Anolis sagrei: one gene and its partner. The protein of the gene in region 2 purifies or fractionates together with the protein of the main gene of each other region. This does not show direct contact. Links are inferred from orthologs where the notes say so. Each region holds a gene or a part of one and is shown on either strand. Other genes may lie near its edges.

Evidence for each region. The genes of interacting proteins can lie anywhere in the genome.
Region 1: the proteins of ARMC8 (region 2) and MRPL18 purify together in Homo sapiens (affinity purification with mass spectrometry; 3 studies listed by BioGRID and IntAct, with this or other methods). This does not show direct contact. The link is inferred for Anolis sagrei from reciprocal best matches to the Homo sapiens genes ARMC8 and MRPL18.

The regions. Positions count from the first base shown.
Region 1 is NC_090021.1:68,231,261-68,238,436, forward strand, and holds the start of MRPL18 (large ribosomal subunit protein uL18m), read right to left. Parts: upstream 3,035-7,176; 5' UTR 2,813-3,034; coding exon 2,746-2,812; intron 1-2,745. Other genes in the region: TCP1 (T-complex protein 1 subunit alpha), read left to right, coding at 3,801-3,873. UniProt on the Homo sapiens protein: Together with thiosulfate sulfurtransferase (TST), acts as a mitochondrial import factor for the cytosolic 5S rRNA.
Region 2 is NC_090023.1:222,117,544-222,124,669, reverse strand, and holds the start of ARMC8 (armadillo repeat-containing protein 8), read left to right. Parts: upstream 1-4,082; 5' UTR 4,083-4,295; coding exon 4,296-4,340; intron 4,341-7,126. UniProt on the Homo sapiens protein: Component of the CTLH E3 ubiquitin-protein ligase complex that selectively accepts ubiquitin from UBE2H and mediates ubiquitination and subsequent proteasomal degradation of the transcription factor HBP1.

The sequences.
Region 1 (7,176 bases), on a different chromosome or scaffold from region 2:
TTTTTAGGGTATTTATGTTGTTAGCATCCTCTGATGCTCATGTGAGGCCGCGCTGAGTCCCCCTTGTGGGGAGAATATATGAAATAAATAAATAAATAAATATGTGCATATGTGGTTTTGCGCATGTGTTGTAATGTAATTTTTGTTTCTTTGGCTTTTTAAGTCTCTTCTGCTGTGTTTTTCAGTGTTTTTATGGGTGATGGTCACTTGTTGGCCTAATAGGTGTATTGTGTCCAAATTTGGTGTAAATTCGTCCAGTGGTTTTTGAGTTATGTTAAACCCACAAATGAACATTACATTTTTATTTATATACTAGCCGTCCCCTGCCACGCTTTGCTGTGGCCCAGTCTGTGTAAAATGTGTTGTGTGTGTGTATATGTCTGGACATATTTGTGCATATGTTTTTGGTTTTACTGGCACATTAATCTATTAATTTATTGAGTATATGGCTTGGTTTTACTGGCACATTAATCTATTAATTTATTGTTAAATTTTACTGATGTACGTTTTAAAATGATTTTATTGTGAGTTGTAGTTTTTAGGGTATTTATGTTGTTAGCATCCTCTGATGCTCATGTGAGGCCGCGCTGAGTCCCCCTTGTGGGGAGAATATATGAAATAAATAAATAAATAAATATGTGCATATGTGGTTTTGCGCATGTGTTGTAATGTAATTTTTGTTTCTTTGGCTTTTTAAGTCTCTTCTGCTGTGTTTTTCAGTGTTTTTATGGGTGATGGTCACTTGTTGGCCTAATAGGTGTATTGTGTCCAAATTTGGTGTAAATTCGTCCAGTGGTTTTTGAGTTATGTTAAACCCACAAATGAACATTACATTTTTATTTATATACTAGCCGTCCCCTGCCACGCTTTGCTGTGGCCCAGTCTGTGTAAAATGTGTTGTGTGTGTGTATATGTCTGGACATATACGTGTTTTCTGTCTGTATATATGTGTGTCTGCATATATATATGTGGTTTTGCGCATGTGTTGTAATGTATTTTTTGTTTTTTGGCTTTTGTAGTCTCTTTTGCTGTGTTTTTCAGTATTTTTATGAGTGATGGTCACTCGTCGGCCTGATGGGTGTATTGTGTCCAAATTTGGTGTCAATTCGTCTAGTGGTTTTTGAGTTATGTTAATCCCACAAATGAACATTACATTTTTATTTATATAGAAGAAAATATCACCGGGGGGGGGGGGGGGACTCTTTATGGCTCCCTGAGTTTCTACCTAATACTGTATTCACATTCCTTAGAACAAGAACTGTGATGTCTGCAGAACGATAATACCCTGACATGATCTACCTCTGTAAAAAGGCCCTTGGTAGCATTTATTTTACCTGCTAGTGCAATTACACCCTACTCTACCTCTTGGATTCCCTGGTGAAACACTGGTGAAACACTGCTGTTTCACCAGTGTTTTAAATGTTTAATCTATTGAAACCGGCCCGCCCAATGTGATCAATTTCTGTGTGTTTAAATGCTGTGATTTAATATTGTTGACGTGTTTAAAATGGGTTTGTATTGTATTTTATTTTTGCTGTGTTCTGTTGTATATTGTTTTACTATATTGCTGGGCTTGGCCTCATGTAAGCGTTGCTGTGGCCCAGTCTGGTGATCTGGAAAATAAAGTAATGAGAAAGTGTCAGGAGGGCTCTGATTATGTTTTCTTGCCCTGGTGAAGGGAGTTGGACTGGATGGGCTTAAGTATTTTCTGTTGGTGAACTAAAACTCCAAAACATAAGGTCCATGCCCTTCCAGAGGTTTTTTTGTTGTTGTCATGGGGGTTCTGTGTGGGAAGTTTGCCCCAATTCTGTTGTTTGTGAGATTCAGAATGCTCTTTGATTGTAGGTGAACTATAAATCCCAGTAACTACAACTCCCAAATGTCAGTGTCTATATCCCCCAAATTGTGTTCATATTTGGGCATATGGAATATTTGTGCCAAGTTTAGTCCAGATCCATCATTGTTTGAGTCCACAGTGCTCTCTGGATGTAGGTGAACAACAACTCCCAAACTCAAGCTCAATGCGCACCAAACCCTTTTAGCGTTTTCTGTTGGTCATGGGAGTTCTGTGTGCCACGTTTGGTTCAATTCCATCATTGGTGGAGTTCAGAATGCTCTTTGATTGTAGGTGAACTATAAATCCCAGCAACTACAACTCCCAAATGGCAAAATCAAAAAATTTTGAGTGAAGGACATACATTGGGTTGTTAGGTGTATGCTGTCCAAATTTGGTGTCCATTGGCTCACTGGTGTTTGAGTTCTGTTAATCCCACAAACGAACATTACATTTTTATTTATATAGATTATTATTATTATTATTATCATCATCATCATCAGACTTTCATAAAAAGAAAGCAGAGGGTTCAGTGTGAGGGTTCAGCCTCAAACTGGACTGAGGAATTGCCCCGACTCCTGCCCTATTCATATCCTCAAGATCAGCTCGAGAAGTCTGCAGAACTGTCCTGGGCAGATTTTCAGGGGTTGCTGCAGAGGACCTCCAACTGATGCAGCACTGAATTTCATACCGACTGCTAGGAATTGTGGGAGTTGAAGTCCAAAACACCCGGAGGGCCGAAGTTGTCCCATGCCTGCCTTAGAGGGAACCTGCACCCTGCAGCTTCAGTTTGTCCATGCCTTGGCTAGTGGGTGTTGGGACTTCTTTTGTATATGCGATCGTGGCTTCCAAGAAGGAGTTTTTCCTACTAAACTGCCCCGTTTCTAATCCAAACCCCGTGGGCTGTGTACCTGGCGCTGCTTCCCGCAGTCCCCTGGCCGTGATCCTCGCCAGCAACGTCGCTTTCCGCAGAGCCATCACGCCGCCTGGCAGGATAGCTAGGAAACCGGAGAGAGCGCCATCTTGACTCAGGGAAAGGCCTGCTTCCCACTCGCAGCTCGATGTCTCCGTTGGATACAAGCAGTGGCCCAGGGGTTGGACTTCAACTCCCGAAAGTCCTAGACACTGTCGGCAGCGATCAGGAATTCTGGGAGATGGAGTCCACAAACTAGGAAATCTACTGAAGCCGTAGGGGAAAAAAGACTTCGCCCTTTTAAAAAATGGCGCCTACAAATGATGGATGCTTATAACCTTGCTTGCGATTGGCTCCGGGCAACTAGTCCCGCCTCCTTTTCTCTATGATGGTCCTATGAGACAAGGGCATTCCGAAGGGTCGGAATGGAACCTTTCAAATCAGGAGTAGGCAAATCTCGGCCCTGCAGGAGTTTTGGACTTCAACTCCCACAATTCCTAGCAGCTTTAGGCCCCTTCCTTTTCCCCCTCAGCCGCTTAAGCGGCTGAGGGGGAAAAGGAAAGGGCCTGAAGCTGCTAGGAATTGTGGGAGTTGAAGTCCAAAACTCCTGCAGGGCCCCAGGCCTGTTTTAGACAGACAAACGTCAGTGCAGATGGCATCATGGGAGTTGTAGTCTGGAGCGCCATTAGTACCTATTGGCAGATTAGGCTTGTGAAAACAGCGTTTTTTCTAGAACGTTCCAGAACAAACGCAACAGCCACGCCCATATCGCTTGTTGCTATGTAACAGTAGACGGAAGGAGCCCTGCCTTGCCCAACAACCAATGACCATCAGCAGCTCAGAAGCAGTCGGCCTATTACGTTTGTCACAGGCGTTTGGATTGGTTAATATTCTTTTGAGGCTCTTCCAATCGTCGGCATCGCATCTTTGAGTCGCCATCTTGAGAGGCGTGGTACCCAGAAGCCCTTTCGCGCCTGGCTGCGGGCCCCTTCCTTCCTTCCTTCCTCCTTCTCCGCACGTTGCTGTCGGCCGGGCTTCTTTTTGTTCGGGAAGATGGCGGCGCTGGATGGCCCGTTGGCGGTCTTGGGCGAGCGGAGCACCGGCGAGAACGTCCGCACGCAGAACGGTAAGCGGGAAAGAAGGCAGGAAGGCCGCTCTCGCCCTCCCTCTCCTCTCTTCCTGCATTTCGTTGTACACTGGCAGTACAGCTCTGCGTGTTGTATACCTCAACTGAAGGCCCCTCTCTTTTCGCAGGCCTCTCCTGCCAGTTCGAATTTTAAGACCACGTTCAAGGCGTGTTGTGTTTTCACTTTTGCTTCATTTATATTAATATGTTTATATTTGTTTTCATGTGGCCGTATTTTAACTGCGAGGACCCGCCTCGAGCCCTAAGAAGAGACGGCTAATGAATAAACAATAATATTGTTATTCTTACTCATATATTTGGGGTCAACCTTCGTTTCCATGCCTCTAAAATATTAAAACAATTTTTAAAGCATTTAATTTAGGAAACACCATTTTACTATTCCGTTATATATAACGGGACTCAAGTATCCACAACAAACAAGAAATGGAACGTTAGAATTTGAAAGGCAATCCAATCCAAGGTTGTTGTAGGTTTTTTCGGGCTATATGGTCATGTTCTAGAGGCATTCTCTCCTGACGTTTCGCCTGCATCTATGGCAAGCATCCTCAGAGGTAGTGAGGTCTGTTGGAACTAGGAAAATGGGTTTATATATCTGTGGAATGACCAGGGTGGGGCAAAGGACTCTTGTCTGTTGGAACTAGGTGTGAATGTTTCAACTGACCACCTTGATTAGCATATAATGGTCTGACAGTGCCTGGAGCAAACTTTTGTTGAGAGGTGATTAGATGTCCCTGCCTGCTTCCTCTCTGTTGTTGTGCTGTTGCAATTTTAGAGGTTTTTTTTAATACTGGTAGCCAGATTTTGTTCATTTTCATGGTTTCCTCCTTTCTGTTGAAATTGTCCACATGCTTGTGTATTTCAAGGTGGTCAGTTGAAACATTCACAACTAGCTGCAGCAGACAAGAGTTCTTTGTCCCACCCTGGTCATTCCACAGATATATAAACCCTTTTTCCTAGTTCCAACAGACCTCACTACCTCTGAAGATGCTTGCCATAGATGCAGGCGAAACGTCAGGAGAGAATGCCTCTAGAACAGGAGTCCTCAAACTTTTTAAACAGAGGGCCAGGTGAGAGTCCCTCAAACTGTTAGAGGGCTGGATTATAATTTGGGGGAAAAATAACCGAATGAATTCCTATTCACACTGCACATATCTTATTTGTAGTGCACAAACACTTAAAAGGAATACAATAATTACAATGAAGAACAATTTAAAGAAATATAAGTATTTCAATGAGTAGTATAGGCCTGCTTTTGGCTGATGAGATAGGGTTGTTGTTGTTGTTGTTGTTGTGTGCTTTTAAGTCATTTCAGACTTAGGTTGACCTTGAGTGAGGGCTGGGTAAATAAACTTGGAGGTCCGTATCCGGCCCCCGGGCCTTAGTTTGAGGACCCCTGCTCTAGAACATGGCCATGTAGACCGATAAAAACCTACAACAACCCAGTGATTCTGGCCATGAAAGCCTTCGACAATCCAATCCAAACCCATTTCGCCCTGCGGGAAAGCACAATCAAAGCACCCCCGACAGACGACCACCCAGCTTCTGCTTCAAAACTTCTGGAAAATAATAATAGAAAATTTTATTTATACTCCACCACCATCTCCCCAAAGGGGACTTGGGGCAGCTAGCATGAGGCCAAGCCCAGAATTACAGTACAACAAAATAAAATGAAGTACAAACAGCAAATAATAACATCAAAATAAAATACATAAAACAACAGGGAGTGATACAAACATATGCAAAATAACATGATGAAGAAATAACATAAAAGCACGGTGGGCAAGCCAAATGCACAGAGTAGGATTGATAAAACCCTGGGTGAGATAAATAAATGAAAAAGTATGTGTCTGGAAGAGATCAGGAGGGGCGGACAATGGAATTGAGTCTTCATTAAAGACAAGAGAAAGTGTGCCATGAGGAGAGAACTATAGTGGGGAGGGGCATGATACTCATAAGTTGGTAGCTGAATGGCTAGCACAGTGGAGCCCCAATTGCTTCCTTTTATGGCACTTGCAGTTTGGAAGCTTACTTCTTTCAATAAATAGCATTGGTGTACCAAGTATAACTATGTTGTTAATTTATGAGTATCCCGTACATTATCAATGAGTTACAAAGCAGTTTGAAGCATGGTATATCTGTAGACTTTATTCTTTCAAGAAATAAAATTAAAAATTGTTAAAAATATAAGTTCTGAACTCAGATTCTAAATATATAATTTTCAAATATTACATTTTCTTGACAATCTATTTTTATATAACAGTATTATTTCAAAGTTTATCAAAATAATACATCTTACCAAAATGCAATTTCATTTGTGGATGGTTGAACTGGTGGCAAATATTAACCACATACATTTGATTGTATGTTATTTTACACTGAACACACTGGAGTAATACTGTCTAAGGTCTGTAAGGCATTGATCACAATCATGAATGACCATAAACTGTCATTGGTGGAAATATTTTTTATTGTTTGTTTTTACTCAACAAGTTAAGTTAAAGTGGCAGTAACCCTTAGTCAGGAAAACGCCAGAATCAGTCCTTTTTGTGAAAGTTACACTTCTTACACTTTTTATATACAGTACATTGAATTAATAATGGCATATGTAAAAGTTTGAGAGAGGAAAAAACCCTCACAGATTAGTTAATGTAAATGCCATGTAAATTTGTTGAATTGTTAAATGCAGTTATCACTCCCAAATAAAAAACTAGAGCCATGAAGCCTTCTGTTTGTTGTTGGTCTATCATTCACTGCATTTATCATCTTTTGCTTTGCTGCTTGGGAACTGAAAAGTGAAAACTCCAGTTCCCCGTTTCTGCCTTAAATTCAGTTGTAAGACTATTTAGAATGTGCTCAGTGATTCAGATTGATACTTCCCATTGTACTGCCTCTTATTTCTACAATAAAATAAGAGTCTTTGCTTATGGGATAAAGAAACACTAGCCATTGTCTGAAGGAGAAGATTGATATTGTCTTTCTCCTATATGAAATGGCTAAACATGGCATCACAAAGCAAATGATAGATTTTATTGTCCAGACAAAATGATGTTGTTCCCTGTTGTATTATTTGTAGAAATCATGTCAAAGATCCACTATATAAGGAACAGTGCAACATATGCATGTTTATACAAATAAATGGCAATAAATTTAAGATCTACTTTTAGGATCCATTCAATGATGAAGTGGGAATAGATTGTGTGAATAAATAATGTCACTGGTCAGTTTTCATGACTGAGCAGGGATTTGAACTCTGCTCCACCAGTGACACTCAAATACATCATG
Region 2 (7,126 bases):
ACCTGTGTCACAAGCGTGGCTTGTGGAAACGAAGGAGAGGGCCTTCTCTGTGGTGATCCCTCAGCTTTGGAACTCGCTCCCCAGAGAGATTAGGCAAGCACCCACTCTGGCAGCTTTTAGGAAAAGCTTAAAAACTTGGCTTTTCTGGTGCACTTTTGAAGAACGAGTAACTAATTCCCATGTCAAGTCCTGTCTCAGTGTCAATTGTCTTTCTGATGCACTTTGTCTCATTCCTCAGTTGAGAATAACCTCATTGTTTATCCCAGACGGGTCTCTCATTTAATACAGCACTTTATCTATCTCACCCACGGGTTTTACAATTTTTACTTCTCGCACTTGGCCCGGCTTGCCCTCATTTAAATTCTTGTACTGTTTTTATATTCTGTTTTATTATGCTATTGTTACTACTTTATTGGCTTATTATGTTATTGTATAAGCACATTTATTTGATGTTATTGTGTGTCTTGTATGTATTTTATTTTGCTTTATTGTAATTGCTTGGGCTTGGCCCCATGTCAGCTGCCCCGAGTTCCTTTGGGGAGATAAAGGCAGGGTACAAATAAAGTTATTATTATTATTGTTATTAATAATAATGATTACAGTGAATGGGAATTGGGATATATCTGAAAGGCTGTAGTTTGTTCTGTTTAGTCAGGAGAGTTTAAATTGAGATCCAGGGCTTGTGGATATGGGTTACAACTACCATTATCCCCAGTCTTCATAGCAGATAATCAAAAGTGATGCGAGTTGTTGTTCAGTAACACTTGGAGACCCAAATTGGGTAAAAACTAAGCAGCACTGACCACTATATGAAAAAAATATAGTTGGCCCTCTGTATCCATGGATTCTCCATCCATGGATTCCACAGCATGAAGGCAACCCTCAAGCTGATGTGGTCCTCAATGAAAATAAGGCCCCTTCTGCACTGCCATATAAAATCTGGATTATCTTCATGAACTGGATTATATGGCAGTGTAGACTCATGGCCCCTTCCACAGAGTGGAATAAAACCCATTATCTGCTTTGAACTGGAAGCAGTGTGGACTCAGATAACTCTGTTAAAAGCAGGTATTGTGGGATTTTCTGCCCTGATATTCTGCATTATATGGCTGTGTGGAAGGACCCTGGGTTATCTGAGTCCACACTGCCATAGATTCTAGTTCAATGCAGATAATGTGGGGTTTTATTCAGCTTTGTGGAAGGGGCCTGGTGTTTGAGAGGTTTGGGGGTGTAGGGCCTGATGGTTCTGTGGTGCCCAGACAGAGGGCGTGTTGGAGCAAGATGGTTCTCCAGTTGGGAGAACGGAGGGGGTTTTGGAGCAAGATGTTGTTTCTGAGTCTGGGAATTAATCTACTTTGGAAGCTGACAGGCAGGGAAGGAAGGATAACATGAGCTCATCCGAAGAAGCAGTTGGCTTAGACAGAGATACCAGGCTGCTCCTGCAGGGGAATAAATTTAGGTGCAAGCGAAGCCATGGGAAGGAGAGGCAGAAGCAGGCCTCTCAAGGTCAAAGGAATGCATTCATATTTTGCAGCCTTTAAATGAGAGAGAGAGAGAGAGAGAGAGAGAGCTGTTAGGATTCCAGATCAAGCAACATCGCTACTGGAGTGGGAAACTCCTGTTTTGTTCCTGGTTCATGCTCTGTAAGCTCAAGGCACAAGATTCCTAGTCAAGTTTTGCTTCTTGTTTTAAGGATTTACGTACTGATTCATGCTCTTGTTTTGTTCCTTGTTCTAATGTTCAAGTTGTAACTCTTGTTTTTGGATTTACCTATTGCCTATGGGACTTGCCTTCTATAGTAACAATGGGATTTTTACCCTATTGGCCCTTTCTTATATGTGTTTTATCAATAGTCTCTTTACTCCCACGTCTGCTTTCCTGGTGAGTGCTATGAGCAAGGTGAACCCCTACTGAGGTGCCACACCTGGGTCCACACTGTCAAATAATGCAGTCAATGTGGATTTTATGCAGCTGTGTGGAATAATAATAATAATTTTATTTTTATACCCTGCCTCCATCTCCCCAAAAGGACTCAGGGCAGCTTCAAAGGGACAAGCTCAAAGAGAACAAAGTTAAAACATAACACAATAAGATAAAATCAAAACAAAACAAAATAAGAACAGTGGATTGTAGCAGGTTTTTTGGGCTATATGGCCATGTTCTAGTGTTAGAGACCCTAAATCGGGTCTAATACTTAGGTCCAGGTCACAGGAGCACGTAAGGAAGAAGGCAGTCCCAGGAGAATATCAAAAACAACATTTTATTTTCATAATGGCCACGAGGAAGTCGGACAGCCGTGTTAAGTGCGTGCAGGCACCAACACTTGCAAGTGACTGCCGTACCACTCTTCGGCTTCTTCAAACTTTTATACAACAAGGTAAACAAAGATATTTTGGTCATGGAACGTACTTTTACTCTTTCCAGTCCCCCTCCCATTAACCTTTTGATGAACTGTGCCTTCTTGCACCTGGCCTGAATGTCTGGTTGTCAAAACAACAATTTGTTCTCTTTATGCAGATTTTGCGCTTCACCACAAACCCATTTCCTATGTAAGCTGAGTAGGTTAGCAACTTAATATTTTAGCCACTTAACTCAAGCATAAGCATGTACCATATATGTCACCTCACTCAGGGGGGTTGCAAAACTTCTTCTCTTTTAAGAACATCCTCCCTCTTGCTGACATGTTGCTCTTTCCCTGCAGGGAGATATATCTTTCTTATGTTTTGTTGCCAAAGCTTAGTTATTGCAAAAATCACTCATTGTCTCCTTCACTAGAAGCAATCTCTCCTGACAGTTCACCTGCATTGATGGCAGGCATCCTCAGAGCTTATGAGGTCTGTTGGAAACTGGGAAAATTGGGTTTATATGTCTGTGGGATATCCAGGGTGGGAGAACATCTATATCAGTGGTTCTCAACCTGGGGTCCCCAGATGTTTTTGGCATTCAACTCCCAGAAATTCTAACAGCTGGTAAACAGGCTGGGATTTCTGGGAGTTGTAGGCCAAAAACATCTGGGGACCCCAGGTTGAGAACCACTGATCTATATAAATAAAAATGTAATGTTTGTTTGTAGGATTAACATAACGCAGAAATCACTGGACAAATTGACACCAAATTTGGACACAATACACCTATCAGGCCAACAAGTGACCATCACTCATAAAAACACTGAAAAACATAGCAGAAGAAACTTAAAAAGTCAACCCCCCCAAAAAATACATTACAACGCATGCGCAAAACCACATATATCCACAAACACAATATATAAACATATACACAAATATATTTATTTATTTATTTACTTTATTTGTATACCACTCTTCTCAGCCATTAGGCGACTCAGAGCAGTTAACAACAAGCAGCGGCAAAAATTCAATGCAAACATCATACAGCCATTTAAAAAACAATTAACGCAATAATACACTAAGCAATTAACATCAATAACCATCAATAACCATCAATAAACAACTCACTAGCGTCTCATAACTAAAATCATAATCCAAGCTCGTCATCCGTTGTTCCGATTTCCTATAATTCATTGTAATTCATTGCACTGCCTATTCAAACGCCTGTTCAAATAACCAGGTTTTCACTTTTTTCCGAAATGCCATTAATGAGGGAGCCGATCTGATGTCTGTGGGTATACACACATATATGCATATACACACACACAAAACACATATACACAGACTGGACCACAGGAACGCGTTGCAGGGGACAGCTAGTATCACAATAAAACATAACATCAGAAAAACAATACCATGCTGAGTAATAACAATGATGAGTTAAGAGGGCTCTGAGTGTGTGCAAGGGGCCTTGGAAGTTAAAAGTAGACTTTTCCAGTGTTACTTCCCAGCTCGCCAGTAGGTGGCGCAACAGGACCACACATACGCCCTAGCCTGCCTTCACTCCCCTCCTTCACTACCAAGGACGGCATTGGACAGGTGCCGCCTCTTCTGCGCATGCGCCTGGGGCGGGACGTCAACTAAGCACCGTTGGGCGCAACGCCCCGCGATCTAAAAGTAGAGCAGGCGCGTCACTCTCATGCCACTTCCGGCAATCACCCCGCCTTCCCACCAATAGCGGCTGAGGGCGCATGCGCACTGCCTCGCGAGCGGCGAAAGCTGTTTTTCCTCGTTCGCTGATTCGAGACGGAGGAGAGCCTTCCTTCCCTCCTTTTCCCCCCTCCTCCCTCTTCTCCTCTTGCCGGCGATGTGGTCGCGCGCGGCGTCGGTCGTGACCCCGGGGTCCCTCGCGCGAGGTTGAGCGCCGGGCCGCGAGTGGGGCGCGCCAAGATGGCGTGTGTGCTGGAGGCGCCGCTCCGCATGAGCGTCCTGTCGGTGAGTCAGTCCCCGGCGGGAAGGAAGGAGGGAAGCGGGGCCGGGTAGGGCGGCCTCAGTTGTGGCTCTGAGCGCCTCAGAAGGAGGCTGAGCTGCCCCTGGCCGGCTCCCTCTCTCCCTCCTTTCTCCCAGCGCCTGTCATTCGCTCCCAGAGAGGCTCCCGCCTTCAGTAGTAAGCAGTGCACTCTAGGGCAGGCATGGGCAGACTTCGGCCCTCCCTCCAGGCGTTTTGGACTTCAGCTCCCACCATTCCTAACAGCCTCAGGCCCCTTCCTTTCCCCCCTCAGCCGCTTAAGCCATGCTCCAAGTTTAATCTATATAAATAAAAATGTAATGCTCATTTGTGAGATTAACATAACTCAACCATTGGGCGAATTGACACCAAATTTGGATACGATACACGTATCAGGCCAACAAGTGACCATCACTTATTAAAAACACTGGAAAACACAGTGGAAAAAACTTAAAAAGCCAAAAACAAACAAACAAACATTACAGCACATGTGCATAACCACATTTATACACCTATACGGAAATACATGCACACATATATACACATACAAGACGCATATACACAGACTCGGCCACAGGAATGCATGGCAGGGGATGGCTAGTCTCTTATATATGTATTTCTTGAGCCATGAGAGGTGGGTGACTAATAATCATCGTTATTATCATCAACATCCTCAGTAGGAATAGTTTATATGAACCTATGCATGGAAATACTCCCCACAGCTCCTGCCCACCTTTTTTGCATGATTTATGTAGATATGTGCGTGTGTTTCTGTATATCACCATGTTCAGCTGTCACAGGGCATTGTGGCAGCAGCCTTACTCTTACTGACCCTTACTTCTTGGTGTGTCCATATACACACCAATGTGTATGAGAGAAGATTTTTTGTTTTGTTTTTAGGCGCATTATCTAGCTTTGTATGTGTTTCAGACAGATTATTTTTATTTGTCTAAAAAAAGAAAAAGCAAACTTTGTAATGTGAACATTTATACTGTAATTTACTTTTAAAATTCAAACTAAAGCTGTCTTTTTCCTGAAACCATCATATCTGTAAGAATAATTATATGAAACCATGCTTGCCCTGTCTTCCTCACAGCTCCTTCCTTTTTGAGTGAATTCTGTCGAAAAGAATGTATGCTTCTCTTTGTAACTTGTGTTCAGCTATCACAGGGAATAGTATCATAGAGTTGGAAGAGACCACAAGGGCCACTCAGTTCAACCCCTTTTTGCCATGCAGGAACATACAATCAAAGCACTCCTGACAGATGGCCATCCAATCTCTGCTTAAAACTTCCCAAAGAAGGAGACTCTGCCAAACTCTGAGACAGCATATTATATGGTTGAAAAGCAGTTACTGGTACTGTCAGAAAGTACCCTTCCATTATATGTCTATCATGCACATTAGACCCCTATTTCCTACAGCTCCTTTGTTTTGGAGTAATTTGTTTGTGTGTTTCTGTGTTTAACATGTGTTCAGCTGTCACAAAGAATGGTGCCCGTAACTCTTCATTTCATTGATCTGGTGGTCTTAGTGAGATAAGATTTTTTTTTGTTTTTCAGCACACTATCTAGCTTTATATATACATTTTAGGATTGCTCATTTTTTATTTCTTTCTCTAGAAAGTAGAAATGCAAACTTGGTAACTTTCTGAATGGGAATAAATTGTGTGTGGTAATTGTGGACGGTTCAGACTAGAGCTTTCCAAACATTAAATGTTGGTGTCACATTTAAGACTTGCATCTTTTTTGTGACACAGTTATTAAGTTTTACTAGCAAACCATAGGTTAAACTAACCCTTACAAGAGATATGGGCACTACATAAATTCTAATGATGAAATGTATATGGACACAGCGTATCTCATTTATATTTTCAATTTTTTTGATTTACTGCTTATTTCACATTGACTTGCGGTTTCTCATTACTTCTGTGTGACACATCTACACTGCAACTAACACACAGTTTGGAAAGCTCTGGTTTAGAATAAGAGAGAATCATAGCATTTGAAAAAAACACAAAGGACAGCCGTATCAACTCCCTGCCATGAAGGAACACACAACCAAAGCACCCTGAAAGATGACTATCCAGCCTCTGCTTAAAAACCTCCAGAGAAGGAGACTCTACTACACCCCCAGGCACCATATTCCACTGCTGAACAACTTTCTAATATTTAGGTGGAATCTCTTTTCCTGCAGTTTGAATGGTGGCAGTAATCCATCATTTTGTTGACCCTGGTTTTGATGAAGATAATTTTTAATTTTTCAGCAAACTGTCCAGCTGTGTTTGAGTTTTTAGACAGTATTTTACTTTTTTAAAAATTCTTTACAAAATGGAAAGCAAATTTTGTAACATGTCTTCATTTTCTTCATGGGGTTAAATATAAACTATGAGGCATAGTTAATTACACACATTTTTATGTTTAATACCTTAAAAGTAATTAAAAAGTATCTGCAGTATAATGGAAGTGACTAGATACCAGTCTTTTGTTTTTGACAATTGGGCGGGAAACAAGTACAAGCCCTGCACTGCAATTCTCTTTTCTAGCTTTAGCCAGATAATGCAATGCTTTCCAGTATGATCTCTCTGTATCATATATATGTATATTAGGTTGTATGCCTTTATGAGGCCATATTTGTTTTGTATAGTGCCATGAATATTAACAGTGCCATATAAATAATAATCTTAATAGTGCAATCCTGCCTTGGACCTGATGGCCCTTAGATCTCCTTCTCACTCTATGATTCTGTCCATGCATTCTTATTCCCAAGTAGGTC